Arabidopsis thaliana: one gene and its partner. The protein of the gene in region 1 interacts with the protein of each later gene in a biochemical or structural test. Each region holds a gene or a part of one and is shown on either strand. Other genes may lie near its edges.

Evidence for each region. Proteins that work in one complex are often made in the same cells at the same time.
Region 2: the proteins of AT1G25320 (region 1) and AT1G14390 form a complex in vitro, tested with the Arabidopsis thaliana proteins (one large-scale study listed by BioGRID).

Annotation. Positions count from the first base shown.
Region 1 is NC_003070.9:8,875,352-8,881,466, reverse strand, and holds AT1G25320 (Leucine-rich repeat protein kinase family protein), read right to left. Parts: upstream 3,678-6,115; 5' UTR 3,480-3,677; coding exon 2,006-3,479; intron 1,922-2,005; coding exon 1,287-1,921; 3' UTR 1,079-1,286; downstream 1-1,078. Other genes in the region: CES (basic helix-loop-helix (bHLH) DNA-binding superfamily protein), read left to right, coding at 1-44, 514-582, 690-770, 857-952.
Region 2 is NC_003070.9:4,921,750-4,928,037, forward strand, and holds AT1G14390 (Leucine-rich repeat protein kinase family protein), read left to right. Parts: upstream 1-2,287; 5' UTR 2,288-2,527; coding exon 2,528-3,773; intron 3,774-3,849; coding exon 3,850-3,971; intron 3,972-4,050; coding exon 4,051-4,297; intron 4,298-4,377; coding exon 4,378-4,571; intron 4,572-4,667; coding exon 4,668-5,045; 3' UTR 5,046-5,165; downstream 5,166-6,288. Other genes in the region: UBC1 (ubiquitin carrier protein 1), read right to left, coding at 5,545-5,673, 5,769-5,857, 5,955-6,044, 6,141-6,166, 6,263-6,288.

The DNA.
Region 1 (6,115 bases):
AAAGGCTGAAATGCTTACAAGACCTTGTTCCAGGATGCTACAAGGTACTTGAATTAACGCAAACCCTAATATTTCTTTTTGTTTGTTTGTTGTCTACAACTCCCTAATTTTTGTTTTGTAATTAAAATAAAATCAACAAAACTCTAAAAACAAGTAACTCTAGATAAATTAGTTACCTCTAAATCCAAGTAACTCTGGTGCTATTTTTTGGTTTAAAAACACTTTTTAAAGATAATTTTTCAAGCTCACAATTCTTTAACTATTAATATTTTTTTTCTATGTATCATTGAATTAAAGTGTAAAAAATTAGGAATCATGTGATAGAATATTTTAAAACTATAGAAATAATTAGTTTTTGTTTTTGTTTTTTCGGAACGCCAAAATCTAAAAGGGTGTGGCAGCGTCTCTTACGTAAATGAACAGATTGTTTTTTTGTATAGCGATTTTTTTTTTCCACAGTAATAAATCAAAATGGGTTTATTCTCTATAATGATAATTCAAAACGTGATGCAGGCAATGGGAATGGCAGTGATGCTTGATGTCATCATAGATTATGTACGATCACTCCAGAATCAAATCGAGGTTAGTTAGGCCATTGATTTCACTCTTCAAAGTTCAAACATCCCATTAACTTTTATAATATCCCACTAATACTTAAATGTTTTCCTGCTTTGGCCTCTTGACTACAGTTTTTGTCCATGAAACTCTCAGCGGCAAGTGCATGTTACGACCTTAATTCTTTGGATATTGAGCCAACGGATATATTTCAGGTAACTATCACATAATATTACATGATTAAAATTATAATAAGATAAAACATTTTCATGGATTTGTATTAACAAAAAAATGATTACAGGGAGGGAATATTCATAGTGCAGCAGAGATGGAAAGGATTTTAAGAGAAAGCGTTGGAACACAGCCTCCTAATTTCAGTTCAACATTACCCTTTTGATCATAAGAAAATTATGAATTTTCAGAGAAATTATTCTCTTTTTCTATAATTAAACTCCATAAATAAGGACTTACCATGATCAGTATATATAGGTTTATCTATCTTTTGTGTGTGACGTCAGTATACTTTTATCATAAATGTGTAACCTTATGATTATGAAGCTTATCCATATAGTATGTACCATGAAAATGAGTAAAGCTATATGTTACAAAGAAACTCTATTTGAAGTAACATAAGATTTCGATATTACAAGGGGAACTAACAACAACAGTAAGACTTTTCCTTTAAACACATTACATACACACAATTGACTTGCAACCGTTTTTGTTACGAGTCACTGAAGGCAAATTTGGGTCAAAGCATCAGCGATATGCTTCATCGGTGGACGTTTCTCGGGGCTAGTACTAACACAAGCCATTGCAATTTTCAACACGGCGATGACCTCTTCTTCAATCTCTGTGTCATTAGGCACCAAATAAGGATCCAAAATGTCTGACATCTCTTTCTTCTCATCGATACACATTTGTATCCACTTGACTATCTCCATTTCCGATTTACCCACGAAAACAATCGGTAATCTTCCCGTTATCATCTCTAGCAAGATCACTCCGAATGAGTATACATCCCATTTCTGTGATGGCTTCACTGTTGCTTTAGTGGCTTCAGGAGCCAGATAAAATGAGCTCAAGTTTGCAGATGATCCAATCGATGAGGCGGTCTTGTTGGATGGTCGGTCAACTGTAGTTGATTCCAATGTTCCAGCAATGCTAGAGAGGTGCATAAGTCCGAAATCCGAGATATGAGGCTCCATATCCTGTCCCAACAGTATATTGCTGAGTTTCAGAGATCCATGAACATACTTTTTAGGACTAAACTCGTGAAGATACACCAGCCCTCTTGAGATTCCCCTCATTATCTTTAACCGAACTCCCCAAGACAGAGGCTTGAATGACACCATTCCAGGATTTCCTAAGCATACACAAAAACCAAAATTGAGTTTTCAAGACAGAGAAACGATATGAGAAGTATTATCATAAAGGTTTTATAGTTTACCGTGGAGTGCATTGGTAAGGCTTCCATTAGGAATGTAGTCGTAGATGAGAAGTTTCTCTTCAACTGACCAATAATAAGCTTTAAGACTAACGATATTCGGATGCCTTAGCTTCCCAATTGCTTCAACTTCTGTCTGAAACTCCTTGCATCTTTGGGAACCTCCTTCTCCCAGTCTCCTAACAGCGACCGTTAGACCATCTTCGAGGACAACTTTATACACAATCCCGTTCCCGCCTTTTCCAAGAACGAAAGCTGAAGCCTTAAGCAGCTCATCTAAATCCAAAGCAATATGTTTATCCAACAGAACAAGATCTTGTTGTGGCTCAAGATTTTCCGAAGAAGGGGACTCTGATCCATCTCTTCTGAAACAGAAGGAACCTTTCTTTTCTTTCCCTTCTTTCTCCAACACATAGCCTTCCTCATCCACACTATTACGACGTGCACAAATCTTCAAGTAACAACAAGAGAAGAGAAATCCCACAATGCAGATTCCAATGAAATCACAAACCACAATTGCAACAATAGCAGTTTTACTTAAACCTTCTCCTTTCTTTGACCCTCCTCCACCTTGCTCGTTGTTATCCGGTACAAAAGGGTGAGAAGTTGAAGAACTATCCGTATCTGGCAAACAAGGATCCTTCAATGGAGGGCCACAGAGTCTTGGATTCCCCAAGAATGCAGTTGGTCCTCTGTTCACCAAAGCACCGGTTTGTGGGATTGGTCCACTCAAGTTGTTGTAAGCTAGATTGACATAAACTTTCTCAGGCAAATTCCCCAAACTAGCTGGAATCGAGCCACTAAACGAATTATGAGACAAATCAAGAGTTCCTTGCAATCTAGTCAAATTCCCCAAATCATCAGGAACAAGACCAATAAGATTGTTAGAAGAAAGATCAAGCTTCTGCAAAGAAGCCAAAGACTGACCAAATCCACTAGGAACAGAACCAGTGAGATTATTCTGACTCAAATCAAAGCTCCTAAGCCTATTACACTTCAAAACCGATTCTGGAATAGACCCATTAAGAGAATTACGAGAAAGATCCAAAATTTGCAGAAACTTTAAGTCACCAATCTCATTTGGAATGGACCCAGACAAGAAATTCCCATAAAGAACCAAACTTTGAAGACCTTGAGCCTTAAAAAGCTCAACAGGTAAGTTCCCACTAAGCTCATTGCTTCTCAAATTCAAATGACGGAGATTAGAGAGTAAACCAAGAGAAGAAGGAAGATAACCTAAAAGTTTCTTCTTTGGGATGCTAAGAGAGACAACAACCTTGTTATCATCACAAGTGACTCCATTCCAAGAACAAGGGTTTTGATTCTCTGAGTTCCAATTGCTTAAAGAACCATCTGGATCTTTTGAAATAGACTGCTTCAGAGTTAAAAGAGCAAACCCTTCGTCGTTTAGAGCATTCAATTCGCCATTGAAGTTCCAGATAAGAAGAAACATGAATAAAAGAGATCCCACCGACATTTCGGAGGAATCAGTACAAAAAAGTAGCAGAATTTGGACAAGAGTTTACTTTTGGTAATGGAGATATCAAGAATGAGAAGAGTTTGCGGAGATTGATGAGAGAATTGGAGAGAGAAGAGCAGTGAGAGTGTGAAAGCATGAAAAGGGACTGTGAGAGACGTTGATAGAAGATTCGGGCTTCCTAAGTTGGACCTTTGGACTTTGGTATCTATCTATAAATATCCCAACTTTTTTTTTTTGAGATCAACAATTTATTAGTATTTTTATTTATACAAATTTCTGTTTTCATTTATTGGTGAATTAAAATCAATGTTGAATAGTTTAAGTGATATAGAATGATGGGAAAATACAAAACTTGAGAATGATGATGACAAATGTGCAAAAGATTAGCTCTTGCGGAGAAATTCATGCACTTTCTTTATCATAACGAAAGAGCACTTATGCCAATTTTTATATACTTTTAGCTCACATATTATTATTACAATTTTTCAAGAAAAAAACTTTAATATTAAAAGAAGCTGTTTTATTTGTTATTTTTCGTTTTCTCTTAATGAAAATTTGTGATTTTCATACTTCAAAAGGAATGAGACAAACTAACCGACCTTTAACAATTAACTATATTTAATATGATTATAATTACCAAACAAAAATGTATATTTATGATTATCATTTACAATACAAATTTTTAAGTAATTGTATACAAGATATGTATGAGCTAATGGTTCCAGTCGAATGAATAATAGTTGCAGTAGACAAGAGTAAGCTGGAGTAGAAAAAGTAATACCCCTACTTCTACTTTATTTTGTAAAGAAAATAATAGAGTGATTAGTACGGCTCCATGATTATCCCACATTCTATGTATAACTATATATAAAGGGAACACCTTTATGAACTATGATGTCCCTCTTTGTATGTTTTCCAGCCGTTAACACACACATTTGTATCATCAAGTAATCAATTTATTGAAAAATGTGAATCATGATGTCTATAGTTGTCTAGCTACTCCGAACGTATACTAACTAATCAGTTTTAAAATTAGTTGATATTCAATGTATGTGCATGTGAATGTGTAGATGTAAATGTAATTTGTGAAACTTAGTTCAAGCTAATTAACTAAAAGGAAATAAACATAAGGTTATACAAATGGAGATTGTCTATATGTATTTGATTAAAGATCTTTCACATTTAATAACAGTTTGGGATTTAACAAAAAAAACATAGTTGTGGTGGTGATATACTATGAAGTTATAGATGCTGATTCATAGTAGTGAGATTAATTTTAGAGGTTTTACTAACAGCCAATAATAGAAACTTCTTTCAAATAATTAAAATTTCCTATAAAATAAAGCACATGAATGAGAATGACACCAAAAAAGTAATTGCAGTTCCGATAGGATAGAAGAAAAGTGTTGCTAAAAGAGATATCATACATTGAACAGACATGCCTGGACCTATGTTTTATGCTTTGCTTTCTCAGCATATCAATCATCCATACCACCAAGGCACCAACACTATATAATATTAAGTGAAGAATGAATGTTCTCAGTCTTTGTAAATTAGACTGGACAAAAGAATACTACGAGAACGTAAAAAGATTAAAATATCATTTTGTTTACTATTTTTTATCAGTAAAAGCACTTTACATATATATAGTGTGCCCCAGTAAAAGAGATGGTGGATACATGGAGCAGCAAAATATGAGTATAGACCAGAAAAGATAATCAAAGCTAGGCTCTAACTTTGGCACGTTGAAAATAGGAGCGTGTGTTCGAGAAGTTAGCCGTTGCTGTGGAGCACTGGAGCGCATAGACTATCTAACATCATTACCAAACTACGCAATCCACATGTATTACGCAATAACATGATCTCACTTGGTCTTTGTGTTTTTTTTCTTTTTTCTTTCTCTATTGCAGTTTTCTTTAATATTTTCGAAACATCATGTTTATTAATCTTGGTTTCCATGGATGCATATTTTACCTAAATAGTGCAACGTTGTCAAAACCAATTGTTTGGATCGATGATATAACACTCATGTTTAGAAACTATTTACTTTTTTAATATATAAAACTTTGAATCTGAAGAGTCCTAAACTAAGACTAACAAAATAGAGGGACTCATGATCCAAAAGTTCTTGAAATCAATCTTACTTATCATTATATACGGGTAATAAATTTCTCAATCTGTAGAATATTATATCGATTGTGTAAATTTTAAACTATGAATTTTCATATTTCAAAAACAAAATAGCTCAATTTAACATTGTTTTCCATATCCCGAGATTATAAAGCATTTACGATCACCTGAGATATAAAAAACAAAAAATAGTTCATTTGTGAGTTATAAATATGTCACGTAAAATTGTTATAACCTCATGTTGTGTAACTTCTTAAAGAAACTACAAATTAATTTAAAAAATCATCCCAGAGATTTAGTTAAAGAAATTATTACCATGTCACCCATACATATAGACAAATAAGGCTGATGTCAAAACTTTAGTGCTAGATAAGATTTTAGAAAGTCTAAATCCCAACATACATGCTGAATGCTGACAAAGATCATGCCGCATGACAAACAAGGTTGCCGCATGATAAACAAGGTTGCCGCATGAACCGTTTTATAACCGGATATCTCCCTTA
Region 2 (6,288 bases), 4.0 Mb from region 1:
AAGGAGTCAAAGGGAGTTATTTACAGAAATACCCTCCTTTTTCTTGGATCATGATCATGACATTGATGATAAGTGATAACCTTTTTTCTAAAACAATACTAACAATCAAGAATGATGGGTGTCATTATCCAAGTGGTTAGTTCGCTTAATCCAAACATCTAATCTAGTATTCCTAATCAATTATTTAAATCGTAACCACTAACCAGCTCATGATAGGAATGTATTGTATTCTAACTAGATATTTTTTGACGTTTCATAAACGAATGTGAAAGAAACATGATTAAATTATCACTATAATAAAGTTTAGATTTGATTCTGTTCGAAGTTGAATCCTGGTTTTAAGAAATGAATATCTTAAAATGTTTGAATTTTTTTTGTGGATAACTTTACATTAGCAAATTTTATGTCACAACTAAACTACAGTGTAAACTTTATGATATTTTTTTTTTTCTGAATTTATTCAACTATATGCTATATAATTTGGGTAATTTATTTTGAACATGCCTAATTTATATGGACCTAAAGATGCATATTTTGGGCCTTAAATTAGTTGGATACATATATGGGTTTAAATTCTAACCTTTAATAAGCCTATAAGCCCAAAAAATAACAGTTTGTAAGTTATCTGACAAAGGATTTTAATAATAAAGCTGCATATAAAATTGAAAAGAAATGCATGTTGTATAATATTAATTGATACTTTGGCAGTGTCGCTTATTACAAAGGCAGTTGCATGTGATGTGCTTGCAAACTCGCATTTTATCTTCCCTTACCTTTTTGTTTTTAGAAAATAGTATATTTTTTCATCATGATTACTTGGAAACTTGGAAGCTGTGACAAAATATTGGTTTTGAGTGCTTCTGATAAAACCTTGTATTTTGAACTTGAAAACTTTTGTTTTCAGCCATTTTTTTAACTTACTACGATGACGGTCACTTGTTTTGGGATGAAACTTTTTACTACTTGGTGTTGGTGATGCATGGTTTCTATAATTCCTCTTATACAACAAAACTTTTTTGGTTTTTGTCAAAAATTGTATATAACCAACCTTCTTTTTATTAGGATCGCACGTCAGGCCACTTAAAAAGAAGTAAAGAACAATGAGAGATCGATGTAAAAAGAATAAAGGAACAAAAGAGAAAGTAATGGACAGTTCATCACAATTCACACACCAAAAAGAAAACAGCTGAACATTTGTTAGAATCTCAACACTTTCCAAACACACGAAAACAAAATGACACTCATTTCTCACCGACAATAGTGATGAAAATATATCATGGCCGAACTAATTGGTAGTATTATTAGTTTGAGATTGGTATTTTTTGTAACAGTTTGATATTGAATTGTTGATTGATGACCACGAGAAAAAAGAAGTACGATTTATATCATTTGTTGGTTTACTGTATATAGATGATCATTTGGTGTCCTTCTGGTTTCGAGAAAAACAACAAGTGGTTAAAAGTGTAGTTCGAGAAAAAGATTTGGTTAGGACATGTAATTCTTTATTTGAGCTTTTAATCCAACGAACGGGGTTAGATTTTCCTTGCGACGGTGGCTTTGGATGATCCTTAACGGCACGATCTGATCATTACATATTTACATTGACGAAAGAGCACGTGTAAAAAAACTCGTTCACTGGTCTGGTTGACTTTTATTACATACTGTCTGGTCGCTATATATCTATCAAATCTCTATGCATTAACAATTAATGCAACGTTGCTCATTAATTAAGTATGTATTTTTTGTTATTTTACAAGTAGTATTGATATTACAGGAGTTAAAATGTTATAAAAGAAACTACAAACATTTATTCGTAAGTTTATTCATTTATATTTTTTAAAAAATTGGTAAAGATGAAAGAATTTACCTTGGGGAAGAGATCAACGGATTTCGAGAGAAGTACTACTACACAACATTTATTCGTCAAACATGTATGTATTTGTATGTTTATGCATGTATTATGTATCAAATAAATGCATGTTATATGAGTAATAAAGAAAGGTCTTCTGACCATAACAGAGAAATTAATTAAGAACCAGTTGAAGTAAATAAATAACTCTAAATTGTGGAAATTTTAGATCAAAAGTAGATAAATAGTCAGATATTTCATGTGGATTTTACGTATTTTAAGGATCTAATTCATTTTATGCTTTTAAAAAATTTCATTCACTTTCTTCGAAGCAGTAAAACAGTCTGTCAATGTGAAACTTATGAACAATCAACATAAGAAACAAAAATTAAACAAAATTTGTATTTATTGTCTTCTTCTCAGCAGAACTTCTCTCCACTTAATTTTGTTTCTTGCTCTGTCCCAAAAACATTGTTTCATTTTTTTATCTCCCAATTTCCCTAGAAAATCTGCTTCCGATCTAAAAAAATCTCTAGAATTTATGTACAAAACACCATTTTTTTAGACTACTAAACAAATACTAACACTAATCTCGGCTACAATAACAGAAAGACCTTCTGTTCCTTAAGCCACAATAACATCTTTCTTTCTAATTTCTCTGTAATTCTTCCTGAGAGAATGCATAGTTCCTCTAAAAGCCAGGCCTTTTCTCTCACTTTTCTTCTCTTTCTTTTTCTTCTGCCATCAGTCTCAGAATCACAGCTAATATCAAGTGAATCAAGAACTCTATTAGAAATCCAAAAGCATTTACAATATCCACCAACTCTTCGATCATGGAGCAACTGGACCAATTTCTGCTACCTCCCTTCTTCTCCTTCTTTCAAAATCCTCTGTTTCAATGGTCATGTAACTGAATTAACCGTCACGGGGAACAGAACCGTTAAGCTCCCCGGAAGATTCTCAAGCGACTCACTATTCACTGTTCTTACAAAACTCTCAAACTTAAAGACATTGTCTCTGGTCTCTCTTGGCATCTCTGGTCCTCTCCCTTCACAGATCATCAGGTTATCTTCATCTCTTCAATCTCTGAATCTCAGTTCTAATTTCATCTCTGGGAATATTCCTAAAGAGATCTCGTCGTTGAAGAATCTGAGAAGTCTTGTTCTAGCGAACAATTTGTTTAACGGAAGTGTTCCTGATCTCAGAGGATTGTCGAATCTTCAAGAGCTGAATTTAGGCGGTAATAAACTCGGTCCTGAAGTTGTTCCTTCACTTGCAAGTAACTTGATTACTATTTCATTGAAGAACAACTCTTTTGGATCAAAGATTCCAGAACAGATCAAGAAGCTGAATAAGCTTCAGAGCTTAGATCTTTCCTCCAACAAGTTCACTGGCTCAATCCCAAGATTCCTGCTTTCGCTTCCTTCGCTTCAGAATCTAAGTTTAGCACAAAACTTGCTGAGTGGATCACTTCCAAATTCATCGTTGTGCAACTCCAAGCTTAGAATTTTAGATGTTTCTCGGAATCTTCTGACTGGGAAGCTTCCATCTTGCTTCTCTTCCAAGAAACAGACAGTACTGCTCTTCACATTCAATTGCTTGTCTATAAATGGTTCTCCTTCTGCAAAGTATCAGCGTCCAGTTACCTTCTGTGAAAACGAAGCAAAGCAAGCAGTAGCTGCTGTGAAGTCTGACACTAAAGATAAAGAAAGGAAAGAAGAAGATACAGGAATCGAACTTGGATTGGTGATTGGCATTATCATCGGTGTGATCCTCGTTTCAGCGGTTTTAGCTGGCTTGGTTTTGGTTAGGATGAGAAAATCAAGATCAAAAGAAGAGCCTTTGGAAGCAAACAACGTCGATCAGGTCACTGTTTGCAGCAACACCACCAGGTCCACCACATCAAAGACAGTACCAGATCTAAGTAGGCTATTACTTTGAAATCTTGAATCAAGTTTTCACACCCATTAACCTAACTAGCTTGATTTTTTCAAATGCAGGACGTGTACCGCAAACCATGAGATCCGCGGTGATTGGACTATCACCATACCGAGTTTTCTCTTTGGAGGAACTGGAAGAAGCAACCAACAATTTTGATGCAGAGAATCTCTGTGGAGAACAGGTAAAGGAAAATGTAAATAAGACATGATTTAAAATTGATCCGAGTGTCTAACTAATCGATATATCTAATTTCAAAACAGCTGTACAAAGGTTGTCTTAGAGAAGGCATAGCAGTGACAGTGAGGTGTATTAAGCTGAAACAGAAGAATTCAACACAGAATTTAGCTCAACAAATGGAAGTTTTATCAAAGCTAAGGCATATGCATTTGGTCAGTGTTCTTGGACACTGCATTGGTACTTATCAAGATCATCATCCTTATGCCGGAAGCACTATTTTCATTGTCCAAGAATATATCTCTAACGGGTCTTTGAGGGATTACCTCACCGGTAATACTTGAAAAAGATTATCGATTTCAAGAACTTATATTTTTGTTGGGAAACTAATTATTTGGAAATGTTTTTGGCAGATTGGAGAAAGAAAGAGGTGTTGAAATGGCCTCAGAGAATGTCGATAGCGATTGGAGTTGCTCGAGGAATACAGTTCTTGCACACAGGAGTGGCACCAGGAATATTTGGGAACAATTTGGAAATAGAGAATGTTTTACTTGATGAAACACTCACTGTAAAACTCAGTGGTTATAGTATTCCTTTACCATCCAAGGTATATAAACAAACCAGATATAATATAATCAGGATATAGCTTCTAATCTTCAGTTTAACCTCTCATGAAATATATAACCTTCTGGGGGAATTTCAGGTTGGAGCGGAGAGCCCTAGTAATGAAGATGGAGAGAAAGAAGATGTGTACCAGTTTGGAGTGATACTAATTCAGATCATCACAGGCAAAGTAATAGCAGCTGCATCTTCAGAGTTGGGGAGCTTGAAGCTTCAGCTGGAGAACAGTTTGAGAGACGAACCATCGGTGTTGCGTAGCTTGGCAGATCCGTGTGTGAGAGGAACATATGCATACGAGTCATTGAGAACCACAGTAGAGTTTGCCATTAACTGTCTTTGTGAAGATCAGAGGAAGCGGCCATCGATAGAGGATGTTGTATGGAATCTGCAGTACACAATTCAAGTGCAACAAGGATGGACAAGCAGTGAGAACCTCGGGCTTGGTGGTTCAGAACTATAGAAGAGAAATATAAAATCACCATCCTTGAAGAACATAGAGAAACTGATCAATGTCAAATTCAAGGCCTATATGAGAATACATAAAGTTGAACCTACTAATACTTAAGGTACTTACGAGTCTCATGTGAAGCTTCAGATTTTGGTGTAGAAATTGGATTAGCGTCACAAAGAAAGCAATGCAATTGTTAAGGCAATGAAAGGGTGTAACAGAAGGATAAGGCCACAAACCCTTAAATAAAATATCGCAACTTTGTGGAATTTGGGTACAAAGTTGTTTTTTGTAGCTAGCAAGTAAATCGTAATACATATATACACAAAAGTGAATAATTCAGATGGTTTGGTACAAAGTTGTTTTTTTAAGGATGTTGGGTTACATCAAAGCATGGAATCACTTAAATAGTTTTGGAAACACAAGACATGAATGAAAAGAGAAGAAAGCTGTTGCTGAATCGTGATTGAGAGAAAGTAGAGAGAGCTACAACGCTTACAACAAACTACTACTAGTCAGCAGTCCAGCTTTGCTCAACAACATCACGCACTCTCCTGTTGTACTCGCGCTTGCTTTCGCTGTACATCCGAGCAGCTTCCGAGTTTGCAGGAGAATTCGGATTAGGGTCACAGAGCAAGGACTGCAATAACAAAGGGAAAAACGGATTAGAGAAGAAGAAAGCAATTCAAGCTTTTAAGGGCATCAAGAGATGTTCATATGGCATTTTGAATTCACCTGGATGGAGGTAAGTATAGCAGCAACATCATAGATTGGACTCCACTGGTTTTGTAGAATGTCCAAGCAGATACTCCCATCTGCATAAACTACACAACGAATAGAGCAGAAGAACGTTAATTGGAGGCAAAAGCTGAACATCAACCAGGTGGATAGAAAATCCAATGTTGTATCTCTATAACTTACTATTAGGATGAAACATCCGTGACACAAACCGAACTGTTGGTGGTTTATTGGGATAATCTTCAGAGAACTGCAGTGAGAGTTTGAAAGTACCTGAACAGCATCAAGAAAGAGACATAAGAACACCACTACAACGATCCCAAAAATTTATGCTTCTTGTCAAAATGCAATAACATATCATAACCATACCTCCATCCCATGGTGTGTCATCAGGCCTACAAATTTAGAAACAAAAAGGTCTAAGTAAGTACAGAAATGACAAAAGTTTCAGAAATATTTAGCCAGTATCTAAAGGTACTTGTTCCCATTACCCAAATATGACAGCATTCCAGAGCAT